Cricetulus griseus: one gene and its partner. The protein of the gene in region 2 purifies or fractionates together with the protein of the main gene of each other region. This does not show direct contact. Links are inferred from orthologs where the notes say so. Each region holds a gene or a part of one and is shown on either strand. Other genes may lie near its edges.

The links. The genes of interacting proteins can lie anywhere in the genome.
Region 1: the proteins of Cul5 (region 2) and Asb1 purify together in Homo sapiens (affinity purification with mass spectrometry; 6 studies listed by BioGRID and IntAct, counting the BioPlex papers as one, with this or other methods). This does not show direct contact. The link is inferred for Cricetulus griseus from reciprocal best matches to the Homo sapiens genes CUL5 and ASB1.

What each region holds. Positions count from the first base shown.
Region 1 is NC_048595.1:443,056,037-443,062,304, reverse strand, and holds the start of Asb1 (ankyrin repeat and SOCS box protein 1), read right to left. Parts: upstream 4,005-6,268; 5' UTR 3,753-4,004; coding exon 3,704-3,752; intron 3,647-3,703; exon of another isoform or gene 2,997-3,646; intron 2,986-2,996; exon of another isoform or gene 1,215-2,985; coding exon 1,151-1,214; intron 1-1,150. UniProt on the Homo sapiens protein: Probable substrate-recognition component of a SCF-like ECS (Elongin-Cullin-SOCS-box protein) E3 ligase complex which mediates the ubiquitination and subsequent proteasomal degradation of target proteins.
Region 2 is NC_048597.1:165,334,906-165,340,374, forward strand, and holds part of Cul5 (cullin-5), read right to left. Parts: intron 5,459-5,469; coding exon 5,335-5,458; intron 4,936-5,334; coding exon 4,760-4,935; intron 4,082-4,759; coding exon 3,920-4,081; intron 3,056-3,919; coding exon 2,937-3,055; intron 2,394-2,936; coding exon 2,270-2,393; intron 2,069-2,269; coding exon 1,874-2,068; 3' UTR 1-1,873. UniProt on the Homo sapiens protein: Core component of multiple cullin-5-RING E3 ubiquitin-protein ligase complexes (ECS complexes, also named CRL5 complexes), which mediate the ubiquitination and subsequent proteasomal degradation of target proteins.

The DNA of each region.
Region 1 (6,268 bases), on a different chromosome or scaffold from region 2:
AGAGAGGGGCTCCTATCAGTGTGGGAAATTGTTAGCAAGGCCAATCAAATAGGATGACTTCTGAAGTGGCTCCTTGCTGCCCAGCCACACAGGAACTTTCAAATTCCCAGAAAATAATTCATAAGAGAAAGCTGTAAAGTTCCCTTTATCAAATTAGCACATTCCTGACACCAAAGCTGATAAGAATTTTTTTTCTAAGAAAAGAAAATGTGATGGACTGGGGAACAATGGAACAATAAGTCAATAGTACTTTATAACATAGAAGAACCTAAATAAAGTACTACCAAATTACAATTTAAAATATTATGCCAAAAAAAATCTAGCATGTAATTACTCTAATTTATTGCAAGTATGTAAGAGCGTCTCTGAATTGGGGTATCTGAAAGGAGAATGGCAGCCATCTCCTTTACTACAAAGACAGCTGGTTAGCCAAAGCCTAGGGCCAAACAACAGTTGCTACCTGGAAGGTAGGTGAGCTCCCTACCATGCTGCTCCGAGAAATAGCAGCAGGGTGTCTCGATAAGAAACAATTCAGCAGAGTACTACTGTATCCACAGAGTCCATGTGTTAGAAGTATGGTCCCAGTATGGTAGTGTTGGGAGACAGCAAAGCCCTTTAACCAGTATGGCATCACACTGGGCCACAGTGTCAGGGCAAAGTGTCTTCCTGCAGGACTAAAGAATTTCTCCTGGAATCCTGGCTAGTTCTTATCAGACGGTTATTATAAGAGCATGAGACCAGCCCTCCTAGTCTCTGGCTTCCTGGATATCAGGAGATCACAGCTCCCCCACTGCTGTCTGTTTTAAGGTACCATAGGTAAGGCTTACATGAGAACCTGCACCATGATATTCAGCCTCTAAGGCTGAACTAAATAAATCTCTTTTCTTTATAGTATTTTTTCAGGTATTTTTATTGTAGCAATGGAAATGAAATAACAGGAAATAAATCTCAAAGGCATACATTTTGTATTAAAATCACACTTCAAGAGGCTAGTGAGATATCTCAATTGGCAGTACTTGTCACGAAAACATGAGCCCTTAAGCTCAGATTCCCAACTCTCATATAAAAAGCCAAGACTAGTTGCACATGCCTCTAGTTCTATTGGGGGTAGGGGAGGCAGAGACAGGAGGCTCCCTTGGGTTGTGGATACCTGGGCTGGCTGGTAGCCAATCTAGCTAGATCCAAATCTGTAGGTTCCATGTGCAGTGAGAGACCTTGTTTCAAAAATAAGGTGGAGAATGAGGATAACATTAAATGTTGACCTCTGACCTCTACATACACATGTTCACACACCGAAAAAAAAAATTGTACCTCAGTAAAGTAGAAAACTAAAAAAATTTATGCATAAATACAAATCCAGCCTGTGTAACAAAAAATAAAGAGGACTAAATAGAAAAACCATACATACCATGTACTAGAAGAAGATTCAATATTAGAGAAATTCTCAAGGTTACCCATAAATAAAATGTAGCCAGCCTCTTCAGAAATTTGATACAAAATATAACAAAAAATTTCAAATTTTATTTGTGCATTTACATAAGGGAGAATTGCTCTTTGTGTTAGTAAGAATAATGGGCCAGGCAGTGGTGGTATACACCTTTAATCCCAGAACTTGAGGCAGAGGCAGGTGGATCTCTGTGAGTGCAAGGCTAGTTCCAGGACAGCCAAAGAAACCCTGTTTTGAAAAACAAAAAAAAAACAAACAACAAAAGAATAATGGGGTAAAAAATAAAACCAAAAAAAACTCTATCATGTTAGATAACAAAATTCTCACCAAACTGAAGAACAACGACAACAAAAACCAAACAAGAACAACAAAAAACAGGCATCAAAGAGAAATGTAGTTAATCGAGATTATTTGTACAATTAATCACCTGCTTGGAAACACTTGCATCTTTGCTCATATCACAGCCCAAACTTAACTCCAGGAGACTGAAAAGTTTTATAAAAAATTGCACCAACAGGTGTTATAAAAACAGCACAAATTCTAACTGCTGAGATACAAGTCTCCCACCCTGTGAGGATCCCTTCGAAGGCAGGCTTTTTCTAGATGTTGAAGTTGTTTCCATATTCAAATAAAATATCCTTCAAGTCCCTGCTTCAAGTCCCAGTGTGGTGATGAGTAAGTATCCTAGCCCTCCAGAATCTGAAAGTCCAAGACAACAAGGCTAACGGCAGCACAAGGTTCAAAAACACCTTATGTGGCTCCCTGATCCCACAACCAGATGTGCCGCAGATCAACAGGCGGACATCAAGCCTGGAAACCACTCTTAAAGGCTCCGTCCAGGTCCTCCTCCATTGTTAAGTATACTGCAGTTGCCAATATATAAAATTTACCAGTATAAAAACCCAAGGCCACAGTTGGGGAAGATTCAGATGTGTGGGATAACTGTCAGGAAAGTGGGCACCAAGGACTTGGTCAAGTCTTTGGACCTCCCTTTGCTCACCTCTCTTCAATGCTTCAGCCTTTTTTTTTTCCCCCAGGTGGTGCCGGCCTTGTAACTGCCACCTTGTTAGCCAGTCCTAGTCTGTCATGAACCCTTCAGAACCCAAGGTAGCACTCAAGACCTGCCCCTCCACCCACAAGCTGGAAACACACTAACAAACAGGTACTGAAAAGTAGACTGGAGGGGACCAAAATCACTGTTTCTTCCCCAGGGCCCTTGTTTACTAAGAAATAGCTATCTTTTCCCCACCTCTCTCCTATCTCTCACTCCTGCATGACAGGGCAGTCCACTCAAAAATTTTGTTTGTCCCTCAGACCAAAGTCAATGCCAACCAAAGTTCTTGGTGGTAGAGGCTTTATCTAGCCTTTTCAGGTCACCCTCACAGCCTCAAGTGAGCCAAGCCAACAGTAGACCATCAATAGTTGACTAGATGGAGGGAGGAATGACAAGGCCGTTGTTTGGGTGACCTTCTGAGATTTTTGACAACTAAGAGAGTTCGCTGAACAAAACAAGTGCCCTCTCCAGAGATGCACACAGCAAGTTACTTACCACACACGTGGCAGTCTCAGAAAGACCCCAATGTGGGACTTCGTACCTGGAAATTCTCAGTGTCACAGTAGCAGCACGGCAAAGTGGGAGATGCTAAGCCAGATGGCAAGTGTCAGCCTTTCTCTGAAGGTGGGTCAAGGGCCGGCGTAAGCGCTGTGTCACTCACTGGCAAGCTCGCTGGGGACAGCATGGCAGTCAAAAGGGGAGGAGGGGGTGTCCAGTGGCTGCGATGCACCGGCTCGGCCATGCGCTGACTGGCGGGACGGGATGAGGAAAAGGAGCGTGCCCTACCGAGGCCCGACCTCTGACCAGTGTGCTCAGACCGGGAAGAGGATCCGTGCCCCATGTCACAGCGGGGGTCATCGCAGACTAACGGGGATCGGCTAACACGGTGGCAGTTACAAGGCGGCTGCACCTGGCCTGGTAACTCCGCCGGGGGTGGGGGTGGTGGGGGTGGGGACCGCGGAGGGCTGTCCACGAGAGGCCGAGGGCGGAGGTCGCGCCCTGGGCCCCGCGAAGCCTGACGCCCACTTACTGACCCCGAGGGCGGCTCCGCGAACCTCCGCGAACCTGGCCGGCGGGGACGGAGGACGAGGGCCCCGGGATGCCCGAGAGCCACCCTGACTGAACCCGAGTCGCAGCCCCGCCTTCCCGCCACCCCGCCCCCCACCACACACACACACACCACACCACGCCGCTCACGTTACCTGCGGGCCCGGGGCCGGCCCGCCCCTCGGGGCTCCCGCCCTCCGCCATGCCGACTCGGCCCTCAGCCGCCGCCCCGACCCCGCCGCCCGACCGGCCGCCTCCGCAGCGACTCTGTCGAAGAGCAACCGGGCCTGAGAGATACCTCAGGCGCTTCCGGCAGGGGGGCGTGCCCGGAGCTCGGCTTCCGGCCAGTATGCGCCTCCCTATCGCACTTCCGGCTCTGCCCGCAGGACGCTTGGGTCCCCACTTCCGGCCTAGCTAACGGACTCGAGAGCCGATCCGTGAGGAAGGCAAAACTGAGTAGCGGCGTCTACCAAGGGCGCGGCGAGTCTGGGGAAACGCCTCTCCCCTGGGGGCGGAGGCTAATTTGCATGCCCCGGAGCCCCTGATTGGCAGGTTCTGTCCCCGCCCACGAAAAAGGCGGGACGTGGGCGTGACCGCTTAGGGCCCAGCCCGCTGTCCCCGGCCTCCCTCCCGCGGCCGCTGAAGGTCGTCTAGGAACGCGGGCCGCGCCGCTTGTGGTTGCCGCGCGGCTCCGGACGGTCGGTGTGGTGCCGCCCGTCCTTCCCAGTCGCTGACTTGCAAAGTGGTGTTAGTTGAACGCAGCCCAGAATGCCTCCATGGAGCCCGCAGTGTTTGTAGCCTGGCAAGGCGTGCGCACCGAGTGACGTCAAGAACTCCCGATTTTACACGGGTCACACCGTGTGCATCGCGTCCCGAGCAGCTCCTAAGCACGGACGCCGCCGGGTCCTTCCATTCCCTCTCTCGCGACTTAGGGAAAGTGCCTTGCAGGGGAGGAAGGACCCCAGTGAGCCGGGGAGGCTGCGCCTTAAGGAGACAGAAGCTCCCCGCCGTCCGGTGAGGTGGGGGCGAGGCCGCAGTCCCCAACACGGTGGCTGTGACTTGCCTGCATCTTTGTGTGGTCATGGCACACCAGCTGAGAGCTAACAACCCATAGGTACCCAGCATATCCTCGTGCCCCGACTGGCTCGGTTGCACAGGTCTGTGGAGCTGGGTGGGACAAGCGGGAACAGCCACGGGCATTGAGGGTGTTGAGGGGAAAGAGAAGAGATTCCAGCCGTGGTGTTTGGGTTTGATAACAGCAGAGAGCACTGCTGGCATGAGGGACAGGTGACACTAATGACGCTGCAAGGCAAAGAGCCAGGGGCTTCATGGCTCTACTCCACAGCTGCAGAATCCCTAGCTGGGATGCCTCAAGTGTAAAACCACCCAGGTGTGCATAGACGGATAAACACGCATCAAAATGTGGCGCTGTGGGCCGTCCACACAGCCTTAAAAAGTCTCCATCCCAGGCTGCAGCACGGACAATTCTGGAGGACACTGTGCTCAGTGAAATAAGCCACCTGTGAAAGACAAATCCTCCACTCAGGACGTCACTAAAGGAATCACTTCATAGAAACAGAGTGGAATAATGGATACCAGGTTGTTGCCAGAAGAGGGAGTGTCCAAGGTGAGGGGACAGAGATAAAACCCCATGCTGTCACCCTAGCCAGAGAATTCTCTTAGAGACTGCAAAAAGACTCAGGGCAAACTGGATTCATGGCTTTGCCTCAGACAAGAATTTTAGCACTAGTAAAAGCAAATTTGAGGGTTTTATTAAAGAAAATTTAACATAGACTTTAACCACAAGGCTTAGAAGAGAGAACTAAGAAAACATACCCAGTGTAGCTCCTCACGGGACTCACAATCTTAGCACTAGCTGTGTGCACCATTTTGATAGCTTTCAACTTAGCTCTCAAACGGTTGCCCAGAGTGTGTTGGGGTGTGTGTGGGGGGGGGGTGGCTTCAGAGGGAATTATAATCTGATAAGGTAAAACCAGAACCAATGGTTGCATAAGAAATTTTGTACAATTTTGTACTGGTCCTTTTCCTGTCAAGGAAGTTTCTGCTGAGAGTCCTGAAAAAATGCAGCGGTATAGCTGGGGAAGGGTGATGGCCTTGAGTAGTAATTGAACCAGCATCCCTGCTTCTCTGTAGGCAAGAGGCTTCCACCAAATTCCTGGGTGAGGGGCACCTCTTCCCTCTCACAACCCCATAATTTTCCTTTCTATCCTACCTCAGGAGGAACAGGAAGTGAGTAAAGATTTGGGGTGGAGACAGGGTCTTTCTAGGTAGCCCTTGGCTGGCCTGGAACTCACTATGCAGACCAGCCTTACATTGAACTCAGAGATCCACCTGCCTCTGCTTCCCAGGTCCTGGGAGAGTGCACCACCATACCTGTTTTTATATTTATTTAATGTATGTGTGCATGCTGTGAGCATCATGAGTGTGCAGGTTCCCTGGGAGGCCAGGGGAGGGAATTATTAGATAGCCTGGAGCTGGACTTACAGACAGTTGTGAACTGGTGCTGGGAACTGAGCTCTGCTCCACCACTGAGTCATCTCTCCAGCCCCAGAAGTTAGTGTTTTAATGGGAACAGTATCAGCCTGGAAAGATGAAAATGTTGGGGTTGATTATATTGTGTTTACTCATAGTCATAACTTTAAAAAGGTTAAAATGGTTTCAAGACAGGGTCACACTATGTAGCTCTGGCTGTTATGGAA
Region 2 (5,469 bases):
CATTAAGAAATGGCCTAAAATTTTTCCCTTGATTGTTTCCTCCTTTGGCATTCTGGTACTGGGACAGGAAAATTTGCCAACACCAAAACTATTAAACAGAAGGGCCACAGTCATTATAAAGGTATCTCTCTGAGTTCTGGATGCACCAACGTCAACTATCATCCACATCGTGGAAACCTCGTACAGTGAGTCACGCTTCACACCTGTTCTAGCCATGGCCTCCTCAGAGCAGCAGGGTAGACAGTGAGCACACATGCACTTCCAACTTCCTATGAGTTTCCCAACAGATATTTGACTATAAGAAAAACTTTAAATGTCTGACATGTATTTCCCTTCCTTCCAGGAAGGGGCTCACAGCTGCTGAGGCTGCAGGCAGGTCCACAGCCCACTGTGGTGATATAATACTGTATGCTTCTCAACACTCCATTTTCTGTTAATTTCAAAGCCATACTTCAAAATATTACTTAACATCAAAGATTATAAAACAATTTGCAAGAAAACTTGAAATGTGCACCACAATGAGTAAAAATACACATGGAGCCATTTTTCCTGATGGGGAATCATTCTCTCTTCAGTTGCTCAAGCCCTCAATTTCTAAATTCCTACTGCATTGTGAAGTCCTGAGTCACTGCTCCGGATTAACTGAGAGAGCAAGCTAAGTGTTGCCCTCTGAACATTTTAAAAATGCTTATTTTTAAAATATATAAATATATATATACATATTTGGCAAGGTTACTACTCATGTTACGGCCAACAACTCTGAAAGCTTCTCAGATCTCAGGCTGTAATCTCATCTCTCTTCCTCCTAGGTGACAGGGAATTATTATTTTAACAAAAAATGTCTTTCAAGAAAACTGAGGTGGTAAATCCCTAATCACAACATTTTCAAAACACCAAATAATTCTATGCTACAGGTTTAGAAAGCAATTCTCTCATTGTACTGTATCAGAGTATTTTTCTGCATTGTTTTCAATAAATTTTGACATGGCATAATAAATATTAAGTGTATATGAATTAAGTGTATTAGTAACACACTTAACACGTTTGCTTTGTGATTCTGATTCTGCAATCAATGACTTACCTATACCCATAAATTTAACAACCGAAGCAACATTCATTATAAACTTCATGTTTTCAAAACAAGCTCTCCAACGATACAAGACTTATAAAGGAAACCCCAAATCCTTACCATTTAACAACAAACAACTAAAACAGCAGTCTCCTGCTTAACGACAATCAGGATTTGTAAGGTAGAAATATTTAATACCATTTTCAGGTCATCATCAAAATCCAGTTATTAAACTAAAAGCAGTGTTTAACAAACAACTTGATACTATGGCATCCTCATCTTCTCAAGTACACCTGCCCTTTCCCAATATGGTGTTGACAACTTCACTCTTTTCATTAAAAGAAGCTAAGAGTGCTACCTCTACCTTTAATTGCATTTAAAAAAAAAAAAAGATAACAGCATTTTTCAGTGCATGAATATCTGAGCATCCTTCCTTGTGCAAGTATATTCCTTTAAAGAGGAGAAGGGGGTAAAAGAAGCAACAAGAACCCCACCCTCACCCTTCCAAAATGTTATTTCTCTTGGTGGGTAAAAATTGAACTGACTTTGAAGTTCATAATGGGCTCTTCATGAATGCAATTTTCTCCACAAAACAGCATGCTGTTAAGAGTGTGCAACATGAAGGGAATGCCATCATGCTAACTAATGTGACTGGCAAAATATAGTCGTTTGTAAGGTAAGGCAGAGAGTTTAATATTTATGTAATCAAAGTCCAAATAAACCTTCCTCCAGCTCAAACCGGGACAACTTTCTGCCCAGGGGCTCCAGAATCTATCTGTGCTTCAACAGTGGCACAGTGCTCAGCTACGCCATGTAGATGAACGTGTTGATGTCGGCCTCATCTCTCCTGATGTACTTGTGCTCTATCAGCCACTCGATTTGCTCTTTTATCATTTTCTTCTGTGGTAAGAACATGTTTTTCAAAATCTCTACTAACTCAGTCTGCAGTTGAGCATTGCTAATTTTCTTTCTCATTTTCATTATTTGTATGATGGCTTCCTAAGAGAAAAATGAAAACAGAAAGTACATTAATATATTACACTTGTCTGATCAAAGCAAATCAGTAACTTTTCCTACATTATCTTCTAACACCAACCAAATTGCACAGCAACTCCTAGGTATTCACACAACTACTATTACAAAGATGTGAAAAGTTAAAAAAAGCCAAAAAATTTAGACATTCTTTCTCCCTATACAAACCTGGGTTCTTAATATTCTTAGCTGAACTATCCCTTCATTTTCTTCTTCTCTCATTCTTTCTGTAGTGAGCTGCAAACGTCCAATCAAATTGATTTTTCCCCTTTTCTGAACTTTTGCATTTTTTCTGCAAAAAAAAAATTGAAAGTTTTGAACATCTTATTACAGCATCATGTCAGAAGTTAGAACTGTTCTAAAAATAAGATGTAGTGCTGCTTAAAGGGTAAGTAACAACCAGGATACACAGCTTCCCTTTCAGCAATCCCCACCCTTGTTATGGGGGGACTTGTCTACAATTACCTGTAATCCTAGCACTTGAAAAGCTGAGGCAACAACCTATTTCAAGCAAAAATTTAAACAGTCCTTTGATTCCTTCAAACAAGATATACGGCCTCTGCTGACCATTAACTGCATTCTTTAACAAACTACAAACTACCTGACTAAGGCTTCAGATAAACAGCTCTGCTGGATAAGGCTGTTCTATTCCACGCACTCAACATTCTGGTCTCAAATATTTTTTAAATAAAAAAAAATGAAATGATACAAAACTAGTGATAATACTCAGTTACTATTTTTGACATTACATAAAGCAAATGATTATTTTAACAAAAATCAAAGCATTAAAATTCAGCATAGTACATTTCTTTTAAATCAACAATGTGAATCTTACATTAGGCTGAACTCCTGGTTCACAGAGAAGAGGGTCCCTTCTGTGAAGTCTTTGGGTGAGTTGACTTGAGGTTCGTATAACAAAACTTGGCGTTTGAGCTTGGGAAAAGCTACTAAAGACTATGAGGAAAAAAAATCAGCATAGTAAATTATACAGAGTGTTAGGAACAAGTCTACAATACAGGCAAGAATCGACTTGTAGAGAAATTAACAATCCAAACTTTTATGTGAACAACACGCACATGACAAAGTAAATGCCTAATGAAAAGAGCTGGTTCTGAAAAAAGAGACATATGTTCTTTTACTTCATGTAGTGAGACAAGCACTGGTTGGTCATATAGGACCTGAGGAACTGTCTGCCAGGACAGTCATGTAGTTGCCTCCATTGCTAACAGTTTATTCTGGAATCTGAGTTACAGGGTAAGCACTAAATGCAATTATAATCAAGACTATCATGAGCACACTTTACAAACATTCATAACTTTGGTTGGACTCCTTAAACACACTTAATACCAACTCAATCTCTCCCTCTTCTCTTTCTCTGGTCCTTTTCTACTTTGGTAATTTGCTTTTCTTTTTTCTTGATTCATAAATTCCTCAACACTGTGCATTTTTTAGTTGAAAGTCATATTCAGAGTATCATGAATTAAAAACTTTACAAGGAAAAAAGAAAGAAAGCCATGGAATAAAGTCCTAGCACTTGGGAGGCAGAGGCAGGCTGAGTTAAGGAAAACCTGGTCTACAAACTGAGTTACAGGATAGTTAACACTACAAACAAACATTGTCTCAAATGCTCCCAAACATGCCCCCCCCCAAATTTTACAGTGGCTTAGGTATGTAGTTCAGTGGTAGAATGCATGTGTACAAGGGTCCTGAATTTAACTCTCAGCACCAAAATTCTAGTTTTACAAGCCATTTACTTATTCTCAACTATGTGACATGACACTATTTTAAAAACAAAATCGAATAAAAGATAAAACAAACCCATAAAGTTCTTCTAAGTTCGGCATCAGGGAGTTCTGTTGCAAGTTTTAGATTTTCAAAGCTGATTTTCTCTCTGGGCCTTTGGTTCCATGCAAACAACACAGCCAACTGAAACGTGGTTACTTCCAAGTCATACTGACCTACTTCATTCTTAAATGTTATCTGTAATAGACAATGGGATTTAATAAGGAATTCATTTCTTCATGAAGCTTACTCCGGTATCTAGTAAAATGTGCATGAGGTACTAATGGGAAAATTAGATTGCTAGTTTTTTTTCCATGACCCATTTCTCCCTCCTTATAGGTAATAATCTTAGACCTATAATGCATCTCCCAGCTTTCCCTGTAGTGAAGTATAGTCATGTGACTTCATTCTGTCCAATGTGTTTGATGTAGAAATAATGAGGAAGATGTTTATCAGTTGCCTTAAAGGAAGGTTCACCTTCTCCTTTCCCTTCCTTTTTTCATGAGTCAGGGTTGGTGATCAGATTGGATTCTACTGTCAAGGTCATTGGTTTGGTAAGCATTTACTAAAACTTGGAAACTATGTCCCTAAAAGTAGGGACAGAGCCACTATTTTCTGTTCTAATCCTAATCTATACTAATTTTTACTTTTATTTTGTATGTGAGGATGTTTTGCTTGCATATATGCCTATACTGCACATATGTGCAGCAACTGTAGAGTTCTAAAGAGGAATTGGAGGTAGAGACTGTTTTGAGTCACTGGGACTTGAACCTAGGTCTTCTGGAAAAGCATCAGTGTTCTTAGCCACCGAGTCACCCCTCCAGCCCTCAGGCAACTCTTTGTACCAGCACCCAAATTGGTAGCCCATCTACTTACAATTCCATTTGACATGAGATGGTGCCAATGTAATTTTCTACCACTATGATTTTTTTTGTAAAATTCTTCTACCTCAGGTATCAAGTCCTCCAGTTCAGTAGGAAGTGAGACAAACACTTTCTCAGAGCTTCTAGACCAGGCGCCAGCATTCAGAATCTTTATATTAACTGAATCAGCTGCAGGTAAGAAAATCAGAATTTATAAATATTTTGACAAGTTAAATTTTACAGAAAATAAACAAGGGCCAGGTAATGGTGGCAGCAGCACATGCCTTTAATCCCAGAACTTGGGAGCACTATTTGAGTTTGAGGCTAGCCTACTCTACAGAGCAAGTTGCCACGACAGGCTCCAAAGCTACACAAAGAAACCTTGTCTCAAAAAACAAAAACAAAAAAAGGAAGGAAGGAAGGAAGGAAGGAAGGAAGGAAGGAAGGAAGGAAGGAAGGAAGGTGAAACTTTTGTTAAAAGGGACTTTTTGTGTGAATTTTGTAAAAATCTTTGATATTTACTTTAAATAATTGAAAAACTATTTTTTTAAGTTTAAAAATACACTTCTATTTAATTATAGATAATACCTGGTAATGCCAACTTATTATTTTTGTGCATTTCCTTAAAAGCTTGGTTCAAGTCTTCAGATACTTTTATGTCCTGAAACATTCTGGCAAGCTTGTTCACATAATCTGCTGGCATACCAACTTCCTACAAAAATC